2 linked regions of the Canis lupus familiaris genome follow. Each later gene encodes a partner of the first gene's protein in a complex. Links are inferred from orthologs where the notes say so. Each region holds a gene or a part of one and is shown on either strand. Other genes may lie near its edges. The genes, in order: EIF3G and EIF3F.

What was found.
Region 2: EIF3G (region 1) and EIF3F share a complex: the UniProt entries of both Homo sapiens proteins name them as parts of the eukaryotic translation initiation factor 3 (eIF-3) complex. The link is inferred for Canis lupus familiaris from reciprocal best matches to the Homo sapiens genes EIF3G and EIF3F.

The regions. Positions count from the first base shown.
Region 1 is NC_049241.1:51,337,502-51,342,044, forward strand, and holds the start of EIF3G (eukaryotic translation initiation factor 3 subunit G), read left to right. Parts: upstream 1-1,538; 5' UTR 1,539-1,633; coding exon 1,634-1,653; intron 1,654-1,767; coding exon 1,768-1,814; intron 1,815-2,264; coding exon 2,265-2,348; intron 2,349-2,452; coding exon 2,453-2,541; intron 2,542-2,670; coding exon 2,671-2,730; intron 2,731-4,044; coding exon 4,045-4,149; intron 4,150-4,235; coding exon 4,236-4,425; intron 4,426-4,543. UniProt on the Homo sapiens protein: RNA-binding component of the eukaryotic translation initiation factor 3 (eIF-3) complex, which is required for several steps in the initiation of protein synthesis.
Region 2 is NC_049242.1:32,120,566-32,125,043, reverse strand, and holds the start of EIF3F (eukaryotic translation initiation factor 3 subunit F), read right to left. Parts: upstream 3,027-4,478; 5' UTR 3,003-3,026; coding exon 2,603-3,002; intron 1-2,602. UniProt on the Homo sapiens protein: Component of the eukaryotic translation initiation factor 3 (eIF-3) complex, which is required for several steps in the initiation of protein synthesis.

The sequences.
Region 1 (4,543 bases):
GAAGTCCAGCCTGGATTCTTCACCACCTGCCACCATACAATTTCTTCAGAAAATTATAATTTCCCCCTCACAGTGCCTGGCCTACAATAAGCTCTCGAGAAGTGAGCTTTAGTGTTATTAGTACCTTTAAATTTTTTTTTCTAAAAACTGGATCATTTATGTGTCTGTTCCTTTTCTTTCTTTTTCTTTTTTCTTTTTAACTGGGGTTCCATTCATTTAGTCCTATTGTTCATGGACTGCTACTTTGTATATAAAACATGTAGAGATCATTTAAGGTTTTGGGCTCCAGAGAGGAATTACTTCTGCTCTCTGGCATAAAATTAGAATAGGAGAAGGTCATCTTTTTTTTTTTTTTTAAGATTTTATTTATTCATGAGAGACACAGAGACACAGGCAGAGGGAGAAGCAGGCTCCATGCAGGGAGCCTGATGCGGGACTCATCCCGGGGCCCCAGGATCACGCCCTGGGCCGAAGGCAGGCGCCAAACCGCTGAGCCACCCAGGGATCCCGAGAAGGTCCTCTTAATTCTTGAATCTGGACTAGCTAGTCCCCTTCCCAAATCTTATTTTTGATATTTGTATTATTTTTCACTTTGCCCATTTTCATAACATTTACATTCTGTTCTGTGCTCATGACCTCCTAATTGTTTAGCGTTCATTCTAGTTATAAATGGATTCATTGTTCAGCACTATTCACTATACTCACATTTTTCTATTTCTGGTTTATGTATTATTATTCATCTATGAGTTAATTAGACTTCATCATTAAGCACTGTCCTTATTCTTTTAATAGGGTCCTTCCATACATTCTCTCATATTTGAAAATGTGCACAAGTCACCTTTATATTCAACTGATATCTTGGTCTTGATACTTCTGAGTCATAGTCCGCTCGCAGTTTTGTGCACGTTGCTCCATTGCCAACTGGCATGGAATGCTGGTGTGGCAAAATCTTAGCTCAAACTGATTTTTCTCCTTTGTTGGTGATTTTTTTAAAATTTTTTATTTATTTATGATAGTCACACACACACACACACACACACACACACACACACACACACACACACACAGGCAGAGGGAGAAGCAGGCTCCATGCACCAGGAGCCCGACGTGGGACTCGATCCCGGGTCTCCGGGATCACGCCCCGGGCCAAAGGCAGGCGCCAAACCGCTGCGCCACCCAGGGATCCCTGTTGGTGATTTTTTTTTTTTTTTTTTTTTTTTTTTTTTTTATGATAGTCACAGAGAGAGAGAGAGAGAGGCCGAGACACAGGCCGAGGGAGAAGCAGGCTCCATGCACCGACCGGGAACCCGATGTGGGGTTCGATCCCGGGTCTCCGGGATCACGCCCCGGGTCAAAGGCAGGCGCCAAACCGCTGCGCCACCCAGGGATCCCTGTTGGTGATTTTTTAAAAATAAATTTATTTTTTATCGGTGTTCAACTTGCCAACATATAAAAGGTGAAATGAATGGAATGAACGAAGGGAGGTGCCACGGCCGGCGCCTCCGCCTCCGGCCGCAGGGGGCGCTGTGGGCGCTGCTGCCGGGCTGCTCTGGGCCGCGGCGCAGGAAGTCTCGTCCTCCCCCCACTTCCGGTCTCTGGCCCGGGACTTGTGCTGCGTGGAGGAGGTTTTGAAATGCCGACCGGAGATTTTGAGTGAGTCGAGGGTCGCGGAGCGAAGCCTGGGAGGCGGCTTGGGGGCCGTGGGGGCGCTCCTCGGGGCCTGGCCTCGCTGACCCAGCCTTCCCCTCCGCCACCTTGCCCTTGCAGTTCGAAGCCCAGCTGGGCCGACCAGGTGGAGGAGGAGGGCGAGGACGGTGAGTACGCCGGGTCGCCCCGGGTCACGGGCGCCTGCGCCGAGCCGGGCACCGCCGTCCGGTGCCGCATCTCCCCCCGCGCCTCCCGCCTCCCGCCAGCCTGTCGCCACTTCCAAGTGTCCGGCTGGCCGGTCCCCCCGCTCCCTTGCCACCGCCCAAGCCTCACAGCTGCTCCGGGGAGGAAGCTGTAACAGCCAGCCTCCTGCTTGGGTGCGAGCGCCGGATGTCTTTATGGGCTGCCCCTCGCTTTCATCCTTGCCATTGCGCGAGATTACTCAGCCAGCGCCACGGCCTGGCACGGCTAGCCCAGGGCACTTGGTCCCCAGGCCTAAGCCCTTGGCCCTGCCGTCTAGGCCCCTGGTGTGGGCGTCATCCCAGAAGTCCCTTCATTTTAGCTTGGGAGCCCTCGCCCCTCCAGCTCACCCCTCCTACCCACACTCCCCTTCCTAGACAAATGTGTCACCAGCGAGCTCCTCAAGGGGATCCCTCTGGCCACTGGCGACACCAGCCCAGAACCTGAGTTAGTGCCGGGAGGTGAGTGACGCCCTCAGCTCCACTCGGGGCTCCCTCTCCCCAGCAGCATTCCCCTCCCCCTCCATCACCCAAGGCTCAGTTACTTCCCCTCTTCTCTCTCCCAGCTCCACTGCCGCCTCCCAAGGAGGTCATCAATGGGAACATCAAGACAGTGACAGAGTACAAGATAGATGAGGATGGCAAGAAGTTCAAGGTGAGGCTGGGGGAGGAGTTGGGGGCCCCTTGGCCCGGAGGGGATGGTGTGTGTGTTGGGTAGGTTGGGTTGATTAGCTCCAGAGCCTTGAAACACAGGAATTCGGAGCCTCTCCCCTCCCCTCCACAGATCGTCCGCACCTTCAGAATTGAGACGCGGAAGGCCTCCAAGGCTGTTGCAAGGAGGAAGGTGAGACGCTTCTCCTCTTGTCTTAGAGGCTCTCCCAGGGCTGGCTTGGAGGAATTAGGAATCCTTTTTGTTGACAGCGTTTTGATCTGATACCTTTATTTTTAGAAGTGGGGTTCAACTCTGTCTCTATTCTGTTGGATCAAGGGGGTTTAAGGTTGAGGGGTGTTTGTGCTCTGTTGGGACCCTGAAAAGTCCAGGGTGCAGAAGTTGGGTGGTTTAGATTAACTCCGCTCAGCTTGTTTACTTGTTTACCAGAAGGAACAGAGCCAAGCCCTCCCCTCAGGCGGTCATAGCAGCTCCTGTTTAACTGGGCTACATGCTTAGGAAGAAGTGATAGCTGTAAATAGCATTGGCACAATTTTCGGTGGACTTCCTCTGTGCCAGACCTCAATGGCAAGTGTTTTGCAGGAAGTGTTTTCTCATTTGCTACCCCTAGCCGTCCTGGGAGGTGGGGAACATTTGAGGTCTCCATTTTAAAGGGGAGGAAGCTGGGATCCCTGGGTGGCTCAGCGATTTATCGCCTGCCTTCCACCCAGGGTGTGATCCTGGAGTCCTGGGATCGAGTTCCACGTCGGGCTCCCTGCACGGAGCCTGCTTCTCCCTCTGCCTGTGTCTCTGCGTCTCTCTCTCTCTGTCTCACTCTCTCATGAATAAATAGATAAAAATCTTAAAAAGGTGGGGAAGAAAGCTGAAGCCTAGGTTTTTTTTTTTTTTAAAGATTTTATTTATTCATGAAAGACACAGAGAGAGACTGAGGCAGAGATATAGGCAGAGGGAGAAGCAGGCTCCGTGCAGGAAGCCCAATGTGGGACTCCATCCCAGGTCTCCAGGATCACGCCCTGGGCTGAAGGCGGTGCTAAACCGCTGAGCCACCCGGGCTGCCCAAGCCTAGGTTTTTTTTTTTTTTTTTTTTTTTTAAGCCTAGGTTTTTTAACTATCTCAAGGCCCCTCACAGTCTGGGTGACCCCTGGGCGTCACTTCCTTATGGGAGCTGGCCCACCTCCTGTCATGGGTGCCTCAGGAATGGTTAACTGTGTGACTGTTTCCCCCTGGGCCTTGGTTCTCTCCTCTGGAACTTGGGCTGAGAGCCGTCCCCACCTCCTGGAGCTGGCCTGAAGCTAGCGGCTAGCACATGCCAGGAGTGGTACACGCTAGGAAATGGGAACTGTCGTTGTCACCACTTTTGGGAGACTTGGGGGAGGGAGAAGAATGTGGTTCAAGGCTGAAACACCCTGAAGGGAGGGCTTTTGTAGGTCGAGTGGTGGTGGGGGTCCCACTTGCCCTTACAAGTCCCCCATCCCGCCCCGAGCCCAGAACTGGAAGAAGTTTGGGAACTCGGAGTTTGACCCACCAGGGCCCAACGTGGCCACCACCACAGTCAGTGACGACGTGTCCATGACATTCATCACTAGCAAAGAGGTGAGTTGGGCAAGGGTCTGGGCCGGTGGCTGTGATGGTGGTGGCCAGGGTGTGGCAACCCTGCTCTGACTGCCACCCCCCCCCAGGATCTGAACTGCCAGGAAGAGGAGGACCCGATGAACAAGCTCAAGGGCCAGAAAATCGTGTCCTGCCGCATCTGCAAGGGCGACCACTGGACTACCCGCTGCCCCTACAAGGACACGCTGGGGCCCATGCAGAAGGAGCTGGCTGAGCAGCTGGGCCTGTCCACCGGCGAGAAGGAGAAGCTGCCCGGAGGTGCCTGGGCCTGGGATTTGGCTTGGCGGACCACGGGGTGGGGCGGGTTGCGTGCACCTCTGGGAGTGTCCTCGGTCTCCACCCGCTGCTGTGAACGGGGCTGTCCGCATCAGAAGTT
Region 2 (4,478 bases), on another chromosome or scaffold:
GCCACTAGACTTTCTCTTATAATTCATTCTGCAGAATACTTGGAAAATTCTGACAATGTCTACATAGGCCACCCAAACAGAAGCCTAGCCTCAGAGTACAATCTTAGGGAGCTTCACCTTTACCTCCCTTCAGTCATCTAGTCCAATGGTCATGTCCTTAACCCCATCATCATCCAGAAACCTTCTACCTGTGAACTGTAAACATCAGTATCAGTCTTTTACCACAAATTTCTGTTCTAGTTCTGATACCTTTACTCCCACTTAGTTTGTTTCTTGACCTAAGACTGCTAGTCCCTTGAGTTCTCCATGTTTTTCTAATCTACTGGCACCACCCATACCAGGCTTCAAGCACTTCCCCCTCCTCCACAGACCACAATGCTGCCACCCATGTGTCTGTTTAATTCCACTTCACTATGGTTTCTGCTCCCTTTGCTAAAACTATGTCTTCAAACCCAGCGGATAAATATGCTTATTTGACCTCTAAACAGGAATTCAATAAACTTGACCATTTCACACTTCTGAAGCAGTTTTAAGTCTTCTGCATTTCCATGCCACAATATCCTTCAGTTAAAGCATTTATCACATTGTATTCTAATTATTTGCATATATCTTCATCTTGAATTTAAGGTTAGAACAGAAGTTATTTTATCAAACTTTGAATTCAAAATATGTAACAGTTTTATGGTATTTAAACAGTACCAGTCATTTCATTTAACCAAATTAAATGTTTCATGAATTAACATCTGAGAATATTCAGAAGCTCCTCGTGAGCAGTCTGTGTTTAATTCTTCAGTGAAGTACTGTCTCTATAACACTGAGCATTATACCATTATCCCAGTCTGGAAGAGGATCTGAAGAGCTAGACTAGTTGGTCTAACTAGAGTCACTAGAGTATCTGGGGGCTCTGAGCATTCTCCCTGGGTTTCTTTAAATAGCTCCAGTGGATTTGGAAAATTTGGCAGTGCAGCTCAAAGAGTAAATAGATTAGTATTCGTCAAGTGCCAACCTTTGTTGCAAAAATCATTTATTTCAGAAGCTCAAAGCAGGACACATTTACAGAATGCTACTATACTTTGGAGGTTAAGAATGGAGGTGAGGGTGGTAATGTGAGACAAAGAACTGACACTTAACACTTTTCCTGGGAACCCAGGAAATGAGTGAAACTTAAATGAGAGAGAGCAGGGAAGACATTTATGTCAAACAGAATACAAAGGCTTGGTTTGAGAAAAACCTTGATGTTTGGAAGATAATGGATCAACTGAAGGTTCTGTGAAATGCTAAATCTTCAAAGAGAGGGCAAATGTGTGTGTGTTGCAAGGCAGGGATTGGGGGTGTGGGGGTAGCCCTGATGTGGTGGAAGACTGCAGTCAACCGCGGTTTTGTACCTAATGGTCTGCCAGCAGTGAGATGCTTTTGGTGATAGTTTAGTTTCTGCAAAGACTAAGTCTAAGTGCCCCGAAAGAACTAGACTTCAGGTAATTTGTCTCAAGGCACATGTTTTTTTTTTTTTTTTTTTTTTTTTTTTTTTTAAGATTTTATTTATCTATTCATGAAAGACACACACAGAGAGAAAGAGAGAGGCAGAGACACAGGCAGAGAGAGAAGCAGGCTCCATACAGGGAGCCCGATGTGGGACTTGATCCTGGGACTCCAGGATCATGCCCTGGGCCAAAGGCAGGCACCCAGCCACTGAGCCACCCAGGAATCCCAAGGCACATGGTTAATATTTGGTGCAATCTACCGTCAAATCTTGTCCCCTTTGCAATTCAGTTGTCTTCTATGCTAGAAAGACTATTACATACATATTCAAGAATAAGAGAAATGACAAACGAGGCTAGAGTCCATTTACAAAGGGATCTAAAATTGGTGACAAGGATGGAAGGAAAAGGACTTTGATGGGATCAGCAGTTCCCAAGAGAAAAGGGCATTATTATCAGTAATCCCTATTTAGCTTCTCAGCTTTACAAATTAACATATCAGGGAGATTAAAAAACATAAGATCAGGATTAAATGTTTAGAAAAGCAGAATATCATTAAAAACCTAAATAGGTTTCTGCCAAACTTGTTGAAAGGGATGTCTTTTTACAGAAGTCCCTACTTCTTTACCAACTGGTTTAAAACGTCCTCGTAAACACCTGGAAAATAAGGACATTTAGACCGTGGAAGGGGGTGGAAGGCGGCGGGGGGGGTGGGGGGCAGCGTTTAGTCGAACGTTTAGTCAAACGTTTCTGACTTCCTCGTCGGCATCTGAACTCATTTTTGGCAGTCTGGGACTAATCACACTTGACCTCAAATGCTAGCGGGGAGATTAAAAATAAAACATAAAACCAGGGGCAGCCCGGGTGGCCCAGCGGTTTGGCACCGCCTTCAGCCCAGGGCGTGATCCTGGGGACCCGGGATCGATCATTCGGCACACGATACTTATTCAGTAACGCACTACGGCTTACGTATTCTGTGTCGACCAAAGTGACAGCAACCTGGCAGGAAAGTGCGAGTTCCTTCAAGGAGGGAAGTCGCGGCAGAAAGACGGGATGCAGAAATAGGTCAAGAGGTCAATGGGATAAACGGGAGGCGAGAGGGTCAATGCGGTTTGACCACTCACCCAGCAGGGTCCCGATAACTCGGGCAGCGCCCTCGTTGCGTCGCTCGTAGCTGTCCACGATGGAAGCCAAAATGACCGGGTGCAGCCGGACCACGCGGCCCCCGGGGAAGGGGCCTGGGAGAGCAGGACCCGGCAGTGACTGCGCCGGAGTCTGCGCTGGGGCTGGCGTAGACGCCGGGGTCTGGCCCGGAGCCGCAGTCGTGGCCGCCGCAGTCCCCGGGTCTGAGGCAGAGGCTGGAGCCGGCGTTGGAGCTGGGACCGGCGCTGGAGCCGGAGCCGGCGCTGGCGCTGAAGCTGGGGTTGCGGCCGGGGCTGAGACCGAGGTTGGGGCCGCGGCCGGGGCGGAGGCTGGGGCTGGGGTGGCGGCAGGAGCACTCGCCGGGGCTGCCGGTGTGGCCATCTTGTCGAGAGAGAAGGAGCCGGGAGCGGAAGGGAGGGAGTTGAAAAGTAGTAGAACACGATAGGCTGAAGATGCACCACGTGAACGAGATCTTTATGCCGATTGGCTACCGGTAATGCTTCTCACGGCACAGTTTCCGGCTCTGAGTTTGTGCTCTTTGATTTCAGACCGATGAGCACTCAAGTGAGGACGGAGCTGAATAGTTCCGGACAAACTTGAGACGGCGATGAGAGAAGAAACCGCTCCGACTGCTCAGCGGCCGCCAGGTGGACCCAGAGTTTCCAGACTTCAAAGGGGTAGTGGACGATAAAGTGCGTTTTAAAGGCACTTCTTCACCGCGTCAGAAGGTGTGGGTGCGGCGGCTTCTTCAGTCACCAGTGTGAATAGGTGCCAGGCGCTGTGTTAGGCCCTCGGAATGTAGATCAGAGGACAGAACAAGGATCGTTGTCCTCAAAAATGCCCAATATCTAGCGGAGAGAGACAAAAGGGTATATAGTATGTTACAGGGTGATGGATGCTATGAAAAAGGAAAAACGAGCGGGGAATAAGGGAGAATCAGAAGGTAGGGTGGGTAACAATGAGAGCGTGAGATCTGAGTGGATTGAAGGAGGCAAGGGAGGGGGCTGTTTTTTTAAAAAAATATTTAATTTATTTGAGAGTGAGCATGAGTGGGGTGAGGGGCAGAGGGAGAAGCAGACTCCCTGCTGAGCAAGGAGCCCCGTGCGAGGGCTGAGATCGTGACCTGAGTCGAAGGCAGATGCTCAACCGCTGAGCCACCCAGGTGCCCGTGGAGCAGGTGTTTTTTTTTTTTTTTTTTTTTGAAAAGGTCCTAAGTTCAATTTTGGAGGTGTCACCCTCATTAGACATCCCAGCAGAATTGTTGAGTGGTCAGGTGGAGATGCTAGTCTGTGCTTTGGGAGAGGGTTTCAAGGAGTAACCCTCTGTAAAGCTCTTAGCATGTGCCTGATACATAGAAGTTATTATTATTATTAAATATTTTATATATTGATTCATGAGAGACACAGAGAGGCAGAGACATAGGCAGAGGGAGAAGGAGGCTCCCTGCAGGGAGTCCTATGTGGGACTCAGTCCCAGGACCCTGGGATCACCACCTGAGCCGAAGGCAGATGCTCAACCCCTGAGCCACACAGGTGCCCCTACAGCCGTTACTATTATTAAGCGGAAGCTATTACCACCGCTATGCAATGGAAAAGAGCTCTGATTCTAACATTGTGTGTAACTTTGGGCAATCTATAATTTTTTCGGAGTCTCAGTTTCCTTCTTGGTACAGTGGGAGTGGTCATATCTACCTGCCAGGAAACCAATCAACTCCTTTTAATTAGATCAAGTCCTGGCATCCAATTGGCAAGTCCAAACTGGGTGAGGTTGGACTTCCTAGCCCTGACCCTTATGTCCAAGAACTGCCTTCTCTTTGGAGCTACCTTCCATAATTAGAATTCACATGATCCAGCTCCC